4 linked regions of the Drosophila melanogaster genome follow. Changing the gene in region 1 together with any one later gene gives a genetic interaction. Each region holds a gene or a part of one and is shown in the gene's direction. Other genes may lie near its edges.

Region 1 (4,702 bases):
GGGTAAGTACCTGTTTTGCTCATTCAGAAACTGGCAATGACGTAGACCAAGTTGGCCCAGCTCCGTCACAAGTGGCCGACTTTGAACCCTTCTTTGCTTCTGGCTTTTCTTACAATTGTCGCACTTGTCACCACACCACTGCCGCCCCACCTAAGCTCCCCTTTTATGCTTTTTCTCTTTTATTTTTTTTTTCTTCTGTCAGCTTCTTTTATTGTTATGCGCAGTGCGTAGAACAAGTGGAAGCTTTGTTTGACAATAACAACAACAGCGAGTGAAACATCAGCAGCTGGGGCAAGTAAGAAACAAAAAAAAAAAAAAAAACGTTAAGTTTACACGACTTCCAAGCGCTGGACGGAATCACCTGCCGCATTTTGTTTTTTCTGTAGTCGCTGTTGTGGGCTTGACATTTGACAATAAAGCAAATAATCATGGGAAAAAAGCTGAGCCCCCAGAAGAACGACAACTCGCCGCCGCAGTCATCATAAGAAAATATCAAAAACGGGAGGAAATCCGGAACCGTAGTCAAAACAAACGAAAGCGTTGAGTTAAGAGCTGTTGGATGAAAGCAAAACTAAATTAAGATTGACGAGTTATGTAAGGGTCTCATATTGTGATCGATCGATTAGCAATAAATAGAAAAAATTATGTCTCTTGCTCACAATTTTGTTAACAAATTGCTCATTGCTTTTAGGCAAATTGTTAAAAAGTTACAGCTCTGTAATGATAACTAAGATTAGTTATGAATCCAAACTTTCTTGAACTAGATAAGATCGCCGACAGTACATTTAACTTATTCAAATGCAGCATAAGCGCACATCATTCATTCAATTACTTGGAATGACTCATTGAGCTAGGACTTGAACTTTTTGCGTATGAGCAATAATTTTTAAAGACCCTCAGACTGGAACTCATTTATAGCAGCCTATCAGAAGCTCGACGATTATGAGTAACTTATTGGAAATCGGAGCAAAAGCCAATGACAACTGTCCTCTTATCTATTTTTATCTATTGGATTGATAATATTGTCGTTAGACACCTATTTAATCGTCAACGGGTTCGATTTCCCTCCTAGTTCGGTTTTCATTTTAACGAGTAACGACGATATTTTTTTAATACGTTGTTTTTCTAGCATATATCGTATCGACTTATTACGGTAAGAAATTATCCTTGCAGCAGAGGAATAGAGGGATTTTTCGAGAGAGCGAGAGAGTAAATCGGATTTACAAAATATATTTTAATACCCTAAATTTGAAAAAAAAAGGACATTATAGACTTAAAGAATTTTAGAGCAATCTCTAAAGAAATTAGCATATTGTGAAGCATACTTTTAGAGACGAATAAGTAAAGGTCTCGTGCCCTCCTTGATGTTCCATATTAAATATCCCAATTGTTAACCACAAATCGCCTTTAAGTAATTGATATAAAGTAATGAATTGGATCACCCGAAATTGTTGAGAGAAAACTGCAGGGTTGAGAAAATGCTGGCGTTGCTGTGAGAAGAAAACGTTGGAGAAAACACTCAACGTTTGAGCGAAATGAGCGTGCCGAAGATATTCGAACACGGCCGAACGCAGTCGAACAAATTCCGACCAGTGAGATACGTTTGAGTCGTGAGATACGTTTGAGTTGTATCCGTGAGATACGTTGTGAATGCTACAACTCTGCTCTGCATCGGTGAGATACGTTTGAGTCGTTTTCGCGGCGTCAAATCGAGCAGACCTGTGCCGCTCCGTAGAGCGAGTTCGTCCAAATAAAAAAAGAATTATACGAAATTCCGCCTGTGTTAGGAGCAGAGAAAAGAATAATTTTAAACCAACATACACAATCAGTTAGTTTCCACCGACAGTCCGCAGAAACCATTCGACGGCAACGGAACGGGCGCGCGATTGTCGGCAATCCGTAAGATAGCCAAATATTATTATTGTTCAGATACTCACTGAGGGCGTTGATAAAAGATCAGCCAGACAACTGCAGATCCGAGTGGAGTGTTTTGAAATCAGTGAAATTCTGTGTGAAAAATCGTTGATTTATTAATATTCAAGAATAAAAGTTCCCAGCGAATTTCATCAGCTGGAGTAACCGAAGTGACCCACCAAGCAAATCGAACAACACAAATCGATCGAACGTGTAAAAGGACTTTCGGTTTCATTAAGCGTGTGCAATTGCTGATTTTCCCCGGCAAAGCGGACTTTTTGCGGAATGAATGAAATAAAAAAAAAACAGCAGTGGCAACTATAATAATAAAAACAACAACAGTGCAACAACAGCCGGGGCATCTTCATAGATTTTGGCTCTCCTGAAGCAACAACTTCTGCCTGCACTTGGTATATGTACTTATCACATAGACATATATATACGCACAGATATATAAAACAAAAACGATCGCTTCTCGTGCCAGCGCGTGTGATTGTGTGCGTTCCCATGTTGCATATATATATGCACAAAAAATATATATATTTATCTAGAGCCGACTGTTGCGACGACTTTTCTATATAATCGGCTAGTGAGCACGCAGACATCGAAAAGGTGCACAAATACATCAGCAGATGCGGGTATATATGTATTGCACATATATCTAGCCAAAGCCAAAGTAGAAGATATATATGCGTATAAGCTGAACGCGGCGCACTCTGCTCTGTTTTTTCTTTTATAATTACTTTTGTCTAAAATTAGAAGACGTGTGTGTTGTGTGTGCCCCGTCCGTGTATCCGTATCCGTGAGATACGCGAGAGTGTCCGCGTCTGCTATATCGCACATCATCATCGCCGTACACCATCCGCCGTCCAATATCCACCATCATCATCATCATCATCGCCATCCCCATCATCATCGTCGTCGTCGTCATCAGAGATCAGAGATCTGCAGCGGTGTGTGTGCCAGAAAAGACGACTCGTGAATCAGACTACGGCTACGACTACGGGTGCGACTACGGCTATATAGGCGAGAGATCGCGTATACGGCCAGACAAACATTATCGTATATCTGGCGCCGAGGATTACAATTACAAGAGCAGCAAACGCAACAGCAGCAGCAGGAGCGGCAGCCGAAGTTAAAGCCGAATACGAGTACGAATACGAGTACGAATATCCGAGCCCCACAAACGAATACGAATACAAATACGAATCCGAACCCGAATCGAGGCGATACGAAACGATCGCGCGCGTGAAAAGCCTCGTGAAGAAAAGCGCTACGAAAAAAGTGGGGGAAAAATCAAACGCCACGCGACCTTAGGCCCGTCCAATTTTGGGGGGGGGCGTGCAGCGGGGCGTGGCCGTGCGTCGACTCCTAGCGATCGCTCAAGTGAAACGCGGCGAAATTCTGTTCAGATAACAAAAATGAGTCACCAAAATAAGCAGCAACAGCAACAGCAGCAGCAGCAACATCAAAAGCAACAGCAACAATCGAGTGCGGCAAAGTGTTCATAAATTAATGCTAGGCATACAGTGTGTTAGACCAGTCCGAAATACACTATCCCCCTCTCTCTCGCTCTCGAACAGTCCGTCTCTCTCTTGCCCCTGCTGTCGCTCAAAATGCTACGAAACTATCGAAAGTATTTGCAGGATAAACGGAAATACGACAAGCCACAACGACGAGGCAGCGAATTTTACATTTGTCACGTTTAGGCAAATTGCAAGGACAAAGGACACACCAACCCCCCAGCAGCAGCAGCAGCAGCAGCAGCAGCAGCAGCAGCAGCATCACGCAGCAATACGCAGCAGCAGCAGCAAAGCGCAGCAGCAACACTCGCTATCGAGATTTTGTACATAAAGTCGGGGCAATAGCAGCAACAACTTTGGAGGACGCCATGTATGCGCAACATTTGCGCAAATGGAGTCTAAAAACAAAAAAGCAACTAATGCCATTGATATTGCTAATTATCAGCTACATGTTGCTACTAAACACATGTGTGTTGTCGTCGTCGGCGACGACGCAGCAGCAACAACAACAGCAGCAGCAGCAGCAGCATCTTCCAAGATTATGGGAAGGCAGTGCCGAAGAAAGCAGCTACTATATACCACTGAGTTCGGATAATGGCAGCGGGAGCAGTGAAAGCTCCGCCGAGAGCGGTAGCAGCAGCAGTAGAAGCAGCAGCAACAACATCGACAACAATATCTTAAGTAGGCTGCTCAGCCTCAACAGCAATAGTCTTAGTAGCCGTAGCAATGTTAAGTTAAAGCCAGCAACAGTATTCGACGCCGGCAGCAGTACACCCGCTCAGCAGGAGCAACATGTGGCTGCCGTGCCAGAGCAGCAGCAGCAGCAACAGCAGCAGCAGCAGTCAATGCAAAAAGTTCCAAATACGTTAATCAATAGTCAAATATATAATTTATTATACAATGGCATGCCCAGCGAGGCGGCGAGCAGCAAAATGCGTCGCCACATTCAACCATCACAGCTGCCACATCAGCCAGAGAGCAGAGCGCAATTACCGAGCAACTACAGCAGTCGGCCGGCGGTGCGGAGCTATCTAATCGAGTCCTACGAGATGCCAGAGAGCATGTTAGAGGATCGCAGTCCGGAGCAGGCGGCGCGAAGTCGTCGGGATGGCAGCAACACCAACGGCAGCCGGCAGCAACAGCGCACCGGCCACCGGCAACAGTTGCAGCAGGACAAGCGCGATCACCGCCGCCAGCGGCAGGATCAGCAGAAGGAGCAGCGCCAGCAGCAGCAGCAGCGTCAGCACAAGAGCGGCAACAAGCAC
Region 2 (4,977 bases), on another chromosome or scaffold:
TCCCTCCATTTTGCCGGGTTGCTGACCCCTAAGCAAATACTCGAAAACTAGCAGAAAATGCAAAGTGTCCTTGGGGCAAACCGAAGAGGCGCGCTCTTGTGTCGTTTTCCACTGTGCGAAGGTGGGCGGCTAGTGGTGGAGGAGGCGGGGGTAAACGCCACGTGCGCTGCACTTTTTAAACTTACTTTTCCTTTGGATTTTATCGTTCTTCTTTTCTTTTTGTTGTTTCGTTAAATCCACTCGTTCTGTTACTGTTTATTCGCTATTATGGGCGAATATATGTATATATCCGAATGACTTTTGATTTTGGCTTTGTTTATGGCCGCGCTGCCGCTGGATGTTGATTTTGTCTTAGCCAAGTTTAGCTTGTCGGTTTTGTTTGTTGTTGTTGCTGAATTGCGTTGTTGCTATTGTTGCTGAATTTTGAATTGAACATATACAACATACAGATTGTACACGATTGTTAAAAAGTTGCAACTGTAAAAATAAAAACAAAAAATATTGGTCACATCGGGCACTATTTTTTTTCTCGAGATTTTTGGATTTGCGCGCGCCAGAGAATGAGTGTGGCGTAAAGAGAGGGAGAAAGAGTAAAATCCCCAGCGACAAATGTAACGTAACCCACAACGTAAGCGTCTTCTGTACGTCACCACGCTACGTAGGCCACGTAACGGTATGCTAACGTTACCGACGGCGCCGCAAAACCGCAAAATCAAAAAATACAATAACAAAATCGACAAAATTATAGATTTTCAATGTGCACGTCGGTTTCTTTTTGCTAGCGAAAATCAACTAGCGCTAGTATATTTTGCTTTTGTTTTTTCTCATTTCGAGTGAAACTTTTCGCGCGCTTCTGCGTGTGTATTCCTCTTTTTTCGTTTTTTCTTCTTTTATTTGTTAATATTATTCACTTGGTGACTACACACGTTCATGCTCATGCCCCCTCACTCGACACACACACGCACACACACTGACGAACGTTTCTGCTTCTTGCTCCTCTTTCGTTCGCTTTTGTTCCACCACCGAAAAAAATGAAAAAAAAAATTTGTCATGTCCATTGAAGTCTCACATTTTTCAAATGCATTTTTTGGCGCTAAAATCTTATAAATTTCAACATTTTTCCATTCGCATCTGATCCCCCGCAATTAGCACTCCACTTCGAACACAAATTTATATAATTTTTGCCATTTTTTACCACAATTTTTAGTAATTTCTACACACCGATATATACGTACGCGCTACGATTTTTCGACAAACGCGCGAGTTTCTTCTGAGTCGCCATCAAATATACAAAATTTTTTTTCGAAATTACTGAAAATGCGAATACACACGCACACATGGACAGCCGACGGGCACGAGGCGCACGCGCTTGGTACATGCGGCTATGCCGCTCTAACGCACTGCTTTTATTGATAAATCGAGAGCGGGACAGCTAGAGCTACCGGCCGAGAGAGAGCATGTGAGAAGAGCGTTCTGTGCGAGTGTGTGTGATAGAGAGAGCCAGAGAGCAAAGTAGTCACACATACTCTCGCAAACTCATAGTGGCTTTCGTTCTCTCCTTTTCTCAACCATTTGCACGTACTTTTAGCTTTTTCATATGGCTATTTGGGAAATTCACCAGCAGTTTACACTTATGCTGTTGTTAGTTTTAATCCATTTATACTGGTAGAACGTAGATTCGTCGGCTACTTTACATTAATTTCGTAACGTAAGCGCAACAAAAACAAGGCTGTCATCGATATAAGCAGGCGTTTTTGTCTGAAACTATCGTGCAATAAGTGACTCCGATAACCAGAGTTCCTTTACGTGTTTCTCGATTACTTATCGGATTGTGTTTGCGAGCACAAATGTCTCTTTTAGCGGAGACACAGTCCTCCAAAACTGTGCAACACTGTTCCTAGGCTCGGTGTGACCAGAGCTATTTAACAACACTGGCGAACATCGGATGGCAAATATCGAAAGAACATTGACTGTTGTTCCACCCCCTGCTGACACCATCTGGTAACACTGAACAACAGACCAGATCCGCGGACAAAGCAAAGCAGTAAATATTAATTTAATCCAAATCCAATTCCCGACACCAATTGGCGGCCTTCAGCTGCTGCTTCTGCAGTCGAATTGTATTTTTTTTTTTGGTTTTTCGTGTCACCCGATAAGAGTTAAATTCGCTGATCTAGCGAATAACGGTGGCAAGTAATTGTAATAACTGCGTGTGTGCACAGTGCTAGTGTTTAGTGTGCGAGTGTGTGCGTGTGAGTGGGAACTCCACAAGTGTGCGAGAAGGCAAATCAAAATAAGAAAAGTGCCGCCCTGATGGAAATTAATATCGCGAATTATCAGCGAAAACGCAGCGAAAGTTAAGCCAAAGTGCTGCGATTAATCAGATAGCGGGTGAAATAGTGGGTATTACGTAAGAAATCAATGGATTCCGGGCTGCATTTGCCCAAAAAAAGAGGAAGCAATATCGAAGCGCTACTTTTATCTCCTCTTTTTTCGATGATTTCATTCGCAGTGACGACACACAGGCACGCACACACCGAACGCCGTATCTGTGTGTGGGTTGTTTGTTGAGCTAAAAAAAATAATGAATCCTCACGATACATTCACTCGTTTCATTTTTTTTGTTATTATTATTCATCATATTTATTTATTTCTTTGAGTGTGCATATCGGCGACTTCGCGACGCCAATTGCTGATTACGCCCCCTCCCTTTTCAGTGCAACTTCCCCACCCCGGAGATCTTGCACTCGAACTAAAAATCGAGTAGAGTACGTAGGCAGAAGCGAAAAGAGCGTACAAAAATCAAGAGCTCAGTGGCAGCAGCAGGAATTTGTGTTTGTCAGGGGATTGCCCAGATTTTCGGGGTAATTGTCCACTTTATAAACAGCCAACCGAATTTGAAACCAACTGTAACTGGAAGTAAAAACCAATTTTACCAAAGCTATCAAAAAAAAAACAATAAAAAAAATGAAATCCTCTGCGCGCCGCTGGTTTAACCAGTACGCCCACATGTGGGCGGCCCAGATGTGCCTCGTTTTTGGCCCAATGGCTGTGGGCGTCCATCCGTGGTTGAAACTATGCGCTGCAGATGCTGTTTACTCAGGCGGTTTATAGTATTACGAATTTGCTAGCTAAAAAACTGATTAAAACTACTACTAAGTGCACAACTCATAACTTTGATATGCTGTGACTGGGTGTATAAATGATAATCGAATGAAATTATTCAATCCAAGGGTATATAAACATGGGCTTAGTCGTTTTTAGTTTGTTTTCCTTTCGGCACACGATCTGCTGCAAATCAAGCTCTGTGGTGTGTTAGTGTTCGTTGTGTTGTGTGTGCGTGGGCGTTTAAAAATAGCCGACCAACACAACACCCATACGTATACGTAATCTGCAGCCCTTTTTTTTCCGTTCCGTGCATATGGAATTTTGATTTGAGTCTTGAGTGGCTTGGAGTGAGTGATTCATGTGGCTTTAGGCGGAAAGGAAACCCAGCGAAGCTGACTCAATGACCACTCATTGTTCGTTCGGCCTTTGTTTACATTTTGCCAGGAGCCAAGAGAGCGAGAGAGCGTGCTAACGGAACGTGCTCGAATGAGTAATTCGCATTGCATTTGACGTTTATCGAAAGCTCTCTTCCTTCCGCTTTTTTCCTTTTCTTTTCGGAGGCCAACAAAAAAAAACAACAAAAGCACGCAGGCACGCACACCCACACACAAGTTCGTACATCAATCGCTTGGTGTGTGTGTGTGTTTGTGAGATGAGTCATCTGGCCAAGTTGATGAGAAAATAAAATTAAACATTAAGGTAGAGCGAAAGAAACAACAAAAAAAGGGGACAGATGTGCGGCCATTTGCTGTTGTTTGTTGTTGCAATAAAGAAAAAAGCAGGGCACGCGGAGAAAGCAGTGCTCGACAAGCAGTGCAGTCAGCAGCTGGACTTTTACGTACACCGGCGTTCGTAAAAATTGCAGCGAAATCGAAGAAATCAAATTGTGTCTTAAAAATAAATGAAAGATTAAGGCATATAAAAAAAAATAATATAAAATATGTAGCATTAGAAATATAAGTGAACCAGGAATGGCTTTTATAATAATTTCTGCCCCTTACTTAACATCTAGTGCTAAATCCAACAATTTTAATTCACTTACCATTGCAGCCGGCGCACAGAAGCGACAGAGACAGAGCACACACAGCACCTGGCACATCCAAGGATATCCGATCCTCCTGCATCCCGAATCATCCACAACCTGCACCAACCGCTAACCGCCAAAGCCATGATCCTCGAGAGAAACCGGAGGTGCCAGCTGGCCCTCCTCATGATCGCAATACTGGCCGCCATCGCTGGACAAACGGATGCCCAGAAGGCGGCCAAACTGACGGCAGTGAGCACATGTGCATCGAAGGAAAAGTGTCACACCTGCATCCAGACAGAGGGTTGCGCCTGGTGCATGCAGCCGGACTTTAAGGGCCAGTCGCGGTGCTACCAAAACACCAGCTCACTGTGTCCGGAGGAGTTCGCCTACAGTCCGATAACAGTTGAGCAGATTCTAGTGAACAACAAACTAACGAATCAATACAAAGCTGAACTGGCGGCTGGTGGCGGCGGCTCCGCCATGTCCGGCAGCAGCTCAAGCTCCTACTCGTCGAGTTCGAGCTCGTCGAGCTTCTACTCGCAGAGCTCCTCGGGATCCAGTTCCGCCAGCGGATACGAAGAGTACTCTGCCGGCGAAATTGTCCAAATCCAACCGCAGTCCATGCGACTCGCATTGCGCGTCAGTGAGTAGCAAACGATTGCATCATCCATGTGACCTACAAACTAATCCCTTACTTGCTTATCAATACACCTTAGATGAGAAACACAACATCAAGATTAGCTATTCCCAGGCGGAGGGATATCCGGTGGATCTCTACTACTTGATGGATCTCTCCAAATCTATGGAGGACGACAAGGCCAAATTGTCTACGCTGGGCGACA
Region 3 (4,560 bases), on another chromosome or scaffold:
AGATGGGCCTGTTTACAATAAAAAAAGATGTAAAATTTAAAAGAATCTATAAACAAATTATTATGAGGCACTGTACCAATTATAATGGTCTGAAAATACTGCATGTATTCGCATTTACTCTTGTCAATATTAAAATCATGAGAATTCAGCTGTGTATATTCGTAAGGAATAAGGACCCAAAATCTGTGCCGACGTCCACAACCAATCCACCCAATCAGTTCCGACTTAACCGGGGTTCTTTGAAAGCCCTCTTAAGTCAACAAGCAACAATAGCAACAACGAGGTGAAACATTTTGCCCAAAAATAAAGTTAAATGCGAAGGCTAAGTCGCACAAACATTTCAAATACGTAATACATGTTTTAAAACTTTCTGCGAAGAGTTCAAAAAGCAGCGGCGAACTTATGTATGTAACAGCAGAAGTATATTAACAATTACACTTAAAAAAATTTCTTTTTCAACGATTGAATCAACGTAAGCTGGTTGAAATTCTGAAAATGCATTGCAGTTAATGGCAAATATTTTACATTATTAAAATGTAACCGTAACCTCAACCAAAACTTGCCAAATATATGTAAGTTACAACCGGCAAAACACTCAAAATGTCAAACATTTGTGGAATCATAGTGAATGCATACCACAAAAGCTGAATATTTATAGCTGTAACTGCAATAAAAGTATTTAACGTTAAATCTGCTCCCTAAGCCATTTGGAGATTTGTGTGCACTTTGTTTCAAGCTTGTGCGGAATTAAAGGAGAAGTGACAGCAAGGTTCTATGATGACAGTTCTTATTGGAAGCAGGCGACAACTTGGGCGTAGTGCTGGTAGCGTTTGAACTGGTTGAGAATTATAAATACACCTGTCAAACGAACCTATATTCTTTCAACATTTATAGCGTCAGCATACGAAAACACAATAAATAGCTCTCAGTAAGTTAGTTACAACTTTTCTGCATGATGTTTTCAGCATGAAGACGGCATATATAGACACCATGCATCTTTTCATTACACAACTAAAGAATCAGCAGAGTCAACCGAAGACCCGCTGGTGTGAGAGTTCGTTCCCCTGTGCGTCCTCAGACCACTGTTCGTCCTCTGCGAGTTGGAATTCCTGTCACGGACTCCGCTCGCAGCTTCCAGTTCGAGTCTGGAGTCCATCCTCATTCATGTGGCGTCTGGCGCACAGCTTATACTCCTCCTGACTGCTGCTACCGCTGCCTTATTCACGTTTTGCAGCCGGCCAACTGTCCGGTGGGCGGTGCGTGGGGAGGCGATTTCGGCTGGTGCGAGAGCGCGGATAGAACACCACGCCCTCTTCGTCTACTGGCTGTGCTCTAGAGCGGGAACGAGCTACTGACGCTATCAGCTGAGAGCGCCGCCATTTGCCACTACGTGAGAGCTGCGGAATGAGCGTGTGTGCAAGCAGGATGGCAGCTCATGCGCGACATCGCACTCACTCACACTGGCGCGCGCACATCACGCACGCAAACACACGGCGAACGGGGCGGTGGAGTTTTTTGGCTTCTGGCGCTGCGCTCGCACAGCGTCCAAACATTCCCAGTTTTTCAGCTGCGACGGCTGGTTGTCCTCACGATTTTGAGTAGATCAGCTGCAGACCAAAGTCGGTAGTCGAGTTTCGAATTTGAGTCGGTTTTTGTTTTTGGAAGCGGTGCGCGTATTCGATTTTTGTTTTGACTTGAGCTCGGCTGTAGTTTCGGTTTGCCAGAACTGGATCGAAGGAGAATCGACACAGAAACAGGGAGTTGGCGAAACGGATACAAAACTGAAGTTGGATCGGTAATCGCCTGCCCGGTCATAAACAACAACACAAGGGAGCACAGCCGCATACGCATACGCGCCTCTGTCTCTAATGCCTTATCAGTAACAGGCATCGTCGAGTGTCGTAGGAAGAGCCCGACAAAGGCCGACCTTTACCACTCAATTTGGATCTGATGTGCCATTCTCGCGCTGTCTCGTAAATTAATGTCATAAATTAACTTTAGATTTCTTACGCTAACCGGTGGTCGTCAGCGGTCCGAAAACGCCTTTGCGCTCGAGATACAGGGGCGGTTTCTAATCAATACAAATATCCTACCTGCCGCCGAGTCAAGTGTTTTAGTGAGTGTGTGACCCTATGTTCCTTATATTACCTTGGTGCTAAGGAGAAAGTTTAAAAAAAGCGGCATTCAAATCGTAGTTTGTGCAATAAGAAAAGGCAAGCCAATGGTGTCAATCTCTAAGACAACGCCGAAGTGATGCATGTCCGCAAAGTAATAGATCAAGTTGTGCGCACACTTATTACCGGCGAGCCTAGCCGGGCATCTAATCGTGGCCAGTGTCAAGTGTCCAATAGCACATCTAGCCGGGGTGTAGAGGATTACCCAAGACCAACGTAGCACCGCAGCCCTTTTAAGGAGGCATAAGGCTCGCAAGACACAACGCACAGCCTACACAACGACAAACATAACACGACCGACGGACATCATCCTTGGAAATAGACCTCGTGTCATTCCAAAAGACGCACATGGGCGTCTGCACCGAGGAGCGCCCTGTGATGCATTGGGTAAGTTCTGCCGCCGTAGCACATAAAATCCAAAGTTACCAGCGATAAGACTAAAAAATAAGTCATCCACCAGTCCGTCCCAGCTCACCCAAACTCTGCCCTTTGTGATTAATATTGATCCGAGCCTGGGTTACTCGGAGTTATCAATACCAGACTGAAAGCTTGCCTATCAACAGACAGCCCCACTCAATATCGATAAGAAAGCCGCTTGGGCATTTCAGATTAAAAACAGTTCCCAGAAGTGTTCAATCAGTGGCTAGTTCGCTCGTTGAAACATTGCTGTAGAACGCGGTTACAAAATTTCAATGTGATTCCCTGCCTTAATTTTTATTCATCTAACTTAGGTTAGAATCATTTAATGTTTAAGAAGGCAGATTTTTGATGATAGTCGTACTAATCAATATACAATCAAATTGGGCGGCATAGTCGTGCAAAAAAATTAATAGATATGTAGAAATCAAAATACAGGTAAAACAAATATGTACGTTTTTACGAAATTTTTGTATATATCTGATATTCGACGCGAACGTATTCAGTTTTAGAGAATAATCACCGTGTGCCAATATATACCAATTTGATATATTTTAATAGTAGTCAATTGACCTTCAAATACTAATTTTTAACGCGAATAAGGCATTTTCTACCACACAGAGATATTCTTGTACCATTTTTTTGAAAAGAACGAATTGCCTTGATGAGTTACATGAACATCTTTTACCTATTTTTGATTTTGTCATTTTTAATTGCTATTCCTATTTTGAAACATAACGCATTCCTTATACTTTATGCAAACAATTTTTTGTTACTTTACAACTTTGGTGTTTGAAATCTGTGTGTTTGTTTTAATTCCCATCTTTTGTATGTTTTCCAAATGTCATCGATTACTGTAAATCGAGATGTACGAGTATTCGAATTCTAGTCTATATATACCACATCTATATATTGTACAAGAATTGTATAAGATTGTATTGTATAAGAATAGGAAAATCGTAAATAAATTGGAAGAGTAAAATGGTATGAAACATTCGTTGAAAAGTATGTAACAGACAGATGGAAGGGTTACCGACCCTTATAAGGGATATCCTTGATTAAGGTCAATAGCCGAGTTGATCTGGCCATGTCCGCCTGTCCGTTCTTTTATTCGTCCAACCGTCCGTCCTTTTAAACGTTTTAGGAATTGTAAAAGCTGAAACCTAGTCTTGAACATTCATATTGTACTGCCGTTTTAAAGTATTTCCAAGTCCACTAAAACAAACTCCCATATCTCAAAATTCTTTCTTCCTAAAGTATTCGAAAATGTGTTGATGATGTGTTTACCTGATAAATTCGGCACATCGATCAAGTTACGAAATTGATTAAATTCGGACTATTAAAAATTTTATAAAAGTAATTTTAGAGTTTTTTTTTTCAAATTTTTATTTTTGTACATTTCTTTTTATATATAAAAGTCGAGTTCCCCAACTATCAGATACCCGTTACTCAGCTAGTGGGAATGAAAACGCAACATTTCATCATTTTGCTGGAATATCGTTAGATATCGGTGAATAAAATGAACAAAAATTTAAATTTAAACCGCCAAGAAATACGCTTTTGAAATATGTTTTGATATTTTTCATGTTTTATAAGTCTTTAAATTTTTACCGATTTGCCAAAAAACTCTTTGACATGCACAAACAGCCCAAAGCGGCCACGCCCATCTTGATGAAAATGTTTTGGTATATTTCCGTTTTATGTATGTATTGTAATACCAAGAAAATTTTTAACACACCCTTTCTAACTTATCATTCGTCTTAATTTTTTTTCCAATTTCTTTCGATATGCAAAAAAATTGAAATTTATTTTTCGCAGTCTGCCTAGCTGAGTAACCGATATCCAATAGCGAGAAATAGACAACGAATTCAAATACATTTTTTTGTAGCTGTCATTTGCCCGTAATCAAAATATCGGAAACATCAATAAGTCCTATTGTTAAGTTTGTTACAAAACTCAATTTTAATTC
Region 4 (4,845 bases), on another chromosome or scaffold:
CTTCGGCTCCGCTGGCTGCCATCCCTGGGTCCCGAGACCAAATCTCAATCTCAATCCCAATTCGGAGTGGCGAACAATCAGTGGTCGGCACATATGTAGCTGTGTGCCTAGCATACTAACCATCCCCCGCCTCCGACTGAACAATAAATTATGTTTATTTCTGGCCCACTCCCCATCGCACCTACGAATGGTTTTGGCTGTGCCCAAATGCGGTCTGGGTCTCCAGCAACGAAATCGGGATAGCCAAGGTCGCGGAGCTCAGGAATGGAGCACTGGGGATACTGGGACTGGGCTGTCGCTCTGGCAACTGGTACCGATCAAGTTTATTTCTGGGTAGGGCGGCACTCACGGCACTCACTACTTCGCCGGAACTTTTAGTAATTCCATACGTAATGTAAACACGTTGGGTAGGCTATTGGTCAATGCCACTTCTAAATTGCGTTACCCGATCATTTCTAAGAACTTAAACTTGCGAATGGCCAATGTTGGCCTCGCTCTTAATTCTGTATCGATAGCAATCAGGTAGCTCAAATCATCTCTACTCACTTTTAATGCACTTCTCGTCTTGCATTTGCCATTGCAATGACTAATATTCTTAACCGACACCTAACTGCGCCCAGAAGCCCCATGTGGTTTCCACGGATCTGGTCCACCTGGCCTGGAACATCCTGTTTGCATTGATGCATGCATGCATAGCTACATGGGGTTTCCCCGACTGGTTTGAGCTGAGCATTTTCAATTTTGATCGAACACTTCGGAGACAATTTCCATTGAGTGGATTTTGAATGTGGTTTGGGTAACAAGTTCTAGTTGGTTTCCAGCGAAAAAACAATGACGAAATGTTGGAAAAAAAAAAAATAGTTCGTCATCGTTGGGAGGCATGAATACGAGGCTGGAAGTAAAGTGTTGCTAGATCGCAGTTCGCAGGCTGTCGCACGTCGAACGATTTTGTTTTGCTGGCCAAAAAAAAAAAAAAGATATTCTGCGCACGTTCGCACCTCTGACGTCTGCGCCTGCGCTGTAAGAGAGCTTTGGCACTGCTCGCTTCTAGCTCCCACTTACCCAACTACCAACCTGCCCACCTGCCCACCAACCCACCTGCCCCCCAGCAAACCCAGTTCCTTGCCTAGATGGCCGCCACAGTAGTTGCTGTGCGGCTTCAGTTTCATTTCCGGTGGCAGGCAACGGACGGCGCTAAAAGCGCTTTTTGTATTTGCTTTCTTACAAGCCAACAACACACTCATATCACGAAATGACCATTTTCGGATTGGAATTAATCTTATGTGCCTGCTTTTCGAAATGTGTATGATTCGGATTCTGATTGCGATGAACTCCATGACTCATCCAGGAGTACAGTCATTACGAAATAAACATAGAGTGGAGCCCGCTATACATATTTATAGGTATTAGCCTGGCTCTAGCACTTAATTGAAAGTAAATGAAAAGTAAAAGTGTAATTTTTTACAATGTTGATTGCAATTCAAAGTGCTTTCGCTTTCTGAATAAACCGTAAGTGGCGTCCACAGGATGGCTACAATTAAGTGGCGCCCGCTGAGGGGCCCAAGCAGTTTGATGATACTGAAACAGGAGCCCAGGGGAAAGCTGTGCACACACCCACTGCCAATCAATTTCAAAGTTACGTCTTTCGCTCCGTTTTATTTACTGTGTTTTTTTTTGTATTTGTTTGTGACTTCTGGCTCGCTGACAGTAAATAAAGCCCATAAATAAAAACACCCACCCACGAGATCGACAGGAAGGGCTAACCAGAGCGCCGGCTGGATTTAAAAACAAAAAGCGCCGTCCGCAGCCAGTCAAGATTCAGATTCATTCATACCCCAGCGCTTAGAACACCACCAGGCCACAGCTCCCGTCCGAGAGATATAGCCACTAAGAGAGAGCGGAAGAATCGAATCGCAAAGAGAGGAGCCGCGCTGAGACAACGTCAAGAATCCGATTTCGATTCCGATTGCGATTTCGAATCCGAGGCAAAAAGCTTCAGACTCGGCAGCAGGCGCTTCATTCTCGAGTTGTGATCCAACGGGTTAGCAGCTCAGCTCGCAAGCAGTCGCCGTTCGTCGTCGAGCGGCAAGCAGTTCGTTTCATTTCTACTGGGCGCCAGTACAAGTTCCATCGAGTGTTTTTGTTATTCGAAGGCAAAGCGCGAAAATTATGCCTTCAGCCACATTTGTCCTGGAGCATTTGATGGCGGCACAATCGCGACTCGACGAGCAGGCCGCATCCCCAGCAGAGGTCAAACCCACCAGCACCATCAACAGCAGCAGCACCACCGTGGCCAAGGCCATCAATGTCAAGTCGTACGAAAAGAAGCTGTTGCTGGCTCTCAAGAAGATTGTGCAATAATAAACGAATGCGGGGTAAACAGCACTCTATTTGACAAACTGTAGACATTTCCCCTAATCGAGCTGACTAAGATCAATAAAAAGCAAACAGAGAAGCACAACAAACAGCGGCAAAAAACAAAAACCAAGAATTCTAGTTTTTGTGCTTTCAGTGTGTGTTCGTGTGTGTGGGCAAGTTGTTACATAAAACAAAAACAATAACAAAATAAAAAAAAAATAATAAAAAAACACCCCAGCCGAGACGCATTTTTCCGCAGTGGAATACTACTATCTAAGCTTCTTTTTGTTTTGGTGTGTGCGAGAAAACGAGTGTGAAGAAAATGCTGTTCAACAAATGTCTGGAAAAGTTGTCCAGCTCGCTGGGCAATGTGGTCAATCACAAGCTGCAAGAGAAACAAGTCTACAACAACAACAATATCAACAATAACAATAACAATACGCTAAACAACAACAATGCCTACAACAATCAGCGAAACTTTGAGTACGAAAGAGCCATACAGGCGCACTACGGAAGCAAGGGAAGACGCTCGGAGGAGCGCGAAAGGAGCGGCAAGTTCAAGGCCAGCAAGGGTCGGAAAGCAAAGGTCACCCCACCAACGGAGACACCCGAGGCCCAGGAGCCGGCCTGCAAGAACTGTATGACCCACGACGAGCTGGCCCAGATCATAAAGGGCGTGGCCAAGGGCGCTGACGCGCAACGTAATCGAGACAACCGACTGCAGCGCAGACGTCGTCCTCTCTCCGCCCAACCCTCCGCCGCTGCCTCCGCCTCCACATCGACGGAATCTCTGCACCGTCTTACACCCAGCCCGCAGGCTTCCTACCCGGCCACGCCCACCTCCTGGACAGCCACACCGCCCCAGTTCCCAGCCGCCTTCGGCGGCGCCAGCTGCTCCAACAGCACACTGTCCCTCTTGGCCACCATGCGCGTCCAGCTCCATGGTTACACGTAAGTTCAGGTCGCCCAAAAAAAACGACAGCAGTCCAGTCCAGAGTGTTAGAAAAAGAGCAGCGTTCTGCTAATTTGGGGCGCGTGCGAAATTAGGCACTAATTGTTATTGGAGTGCGAGTAATGAAGTTGTCAGGCTGCCAACTAAACGATACCCCGTAGCAGGTGAAATGGTATTTTGAGCTACCATCGCATCGTAGTATGTCGCCCCGCCTGTCAGTCACATGTCGCGGAGTAGCAGATGATTCGCGGGAAATCTGGAGACAATCTGCTGCCCATCAACATTAACCCTAATAAGGCAGGCAATCACAGGCAGTTGACGCCGCAACAAAGCAAAAAAAAAAAAAAATCAGCGCAGCACATACTGTCATGTGTTCAGAATTGCCACGCAAAATGAGTAAATATTTACGCAAAGCATTCGACTCGAAAACAAGCAATCGTAAATTGACGTTCTAATATGAATGAATTTCCGACTGTCAAATGCCGAAGTGAAGTGAAGGGAGTGGAATGGCAAATGGCAGGGGGCCCAGCTCAGATCGCCACTCAAATATGGTCACATATCAACATATCAACCCCCCCCACACAATTGGCCCGTTGTCAAGTTGTGTTTCGATATTGGTTCTTTCATTTAGAGCTGAAGATTGAGTTATTGGTTAGGCACTGGCTAAATTACGCACTTGTAGAACCGGGAGAGTTCGGCGAATTGCCCACTGCAGACATCGTATCTTGGCCCACTGCCAGATCGGAATTATCTCTTCACTCGCGCCCGGAATGTTTACCCATGTCCCGCTGTTGCGCTGTCCGTCGTCCACATTCCCCAAAGATTCCATCCCACTCCGTGTCTGATCTTGGTGTTTATCTGCCCGGCTGTGCCATGTGCCGTCCGATTGTTTGTGTGGGCTGGCCCCATCTTGGCGATCTCGATTCGCACAGTACACCCAGAAAACAATCGCATATGTATCTGCTGGACTATTATTATGTCCCATAAATTATCTTTGACTTTTAGTTGAGCTCGGATTGGTAGTGCAGTCGGTTTCGGTTGTTGCTTATTTATTTATTTTGATTTTTATCGCAACGGATTCATAATCGCTGAACGTGTTGATTGGCTCGTTAACTTGATCTTTGTTTTTCTAATTTATGCTCAGCTTTTATAGGTATCCTGCTTTAGGGCGATCTTTTCGTCGTTATCCTAAAACGCACATCATGCCAAATGATCTGAAGATGATGTGCCAATAGCTTTGACAGCTTAAGCTGCGTGATTTCCGGATTTCACTTGTCACACTCACTAGGTCAACAATGGGGCACCGCCGTCCTCTGCCCTCCGCCTTGTAGAACTATTAACCTTCCGATGGTTTTTCTTCTCGCCATAAGGCTGATTAACGATTTATGAAATTACATTTCCCGTAATGGATTTCGAGCGCTGCCTTCTGTTTTGCATATTTCCGTTTATTTGTCCGTTGCACAACCGTGAGCTGTGGCTACTGATCAAATAAAAGCGTTTAATTTGTGCAAATTCATAACGTCGGCCGACTACAA

What was found.
Region 2: of vn (region 1) and mys, changing one suppresses a phenotype caused by changing the other (phenotypic suppression), as found in Drosophila melanogaster (one study listed by BioGRID).
Region 3: of vn (region 1) and ap, changing one suppresses a phenotype caused by changing the other (phenotypic suppression), as found in Drosophila melanogaster (one study listed by BioGRID).
Region 4: of vn (region 1) and csw, changing one suppresses a phenotype caused by changing the other (phenotypic suppression), as found in Drosophila melanogaster (2 studies listed by BioGRID).

What each region holds. Positions count from the first base shown.
Region 1 is NT_037436.4:5,842,662-5,847,363, reverse strand, and holds the start of vn (vein), read left to right. Parts: upstream 1-1,699; 5' UTR 1,700-3,805; coding exon 3,806-4,702. UniProt on the Drosophila melanogaster protein: Ligand for the EGF receptor. Seems to play a role in the global proliferation of wing disc cells and the larval patterning. Shows a strong synergistic genetic interaction with spi, suggesting a molecular interdependence.
Region 2 is NC_004354.4:8,059,682-8,064,658, forward strand, and holds the start of mys (myospheroid), read left to right. Parts: upstream 1-1,963; 5' UTR 1,964-2,044; exon of another isoform or gene 2,045-2,399; intron 2,400-4,158; 5' UTR 4,159-4,276; coding exon 4,277-4,778; intron 4,779-4,851; coding exon 4,852-4,977. UniProt on the Drosophila melanogaster protein: Integrin alpha-PS1/beta-PS is a receptor for laminin. Integrin alpha-PS2/beta-PS is a receptor for Tig, wb and Ten-m. Contributes to endodermal integrity and adhesion between the midgut epithelium and the surrounding visceral muscle.
Region 3 is NT_033778.4:5,723,822-5,728,381, reverse strand, and holds the start of ap (apterous), read left to right. Parts: upstream 1-1,549; 5' UTR 1,550-2,522; coding exon 2,523-2,561; intron 2,562-4,560. UniProt on the Drosophila melanogaster protein: Required for the normal development of the wing and halter imaginal disks.
Region 4 is NC_004354.4:2,100,467-2,105,311, forward strand, and holds the start of csw (corkscrew), read left to right. Parts: upstream 1-1,822; 5' UTR 1,823-2,680; coding exon 2,681-3,309; intron 3,310-4,845. UniProt on the Drosophila melanogaster protein: Required in all receptor tyrosine kinase signaling pathways. Functions downstream of the receptor tyrosine kinase torso, acting in concert with D-Raf via tailless.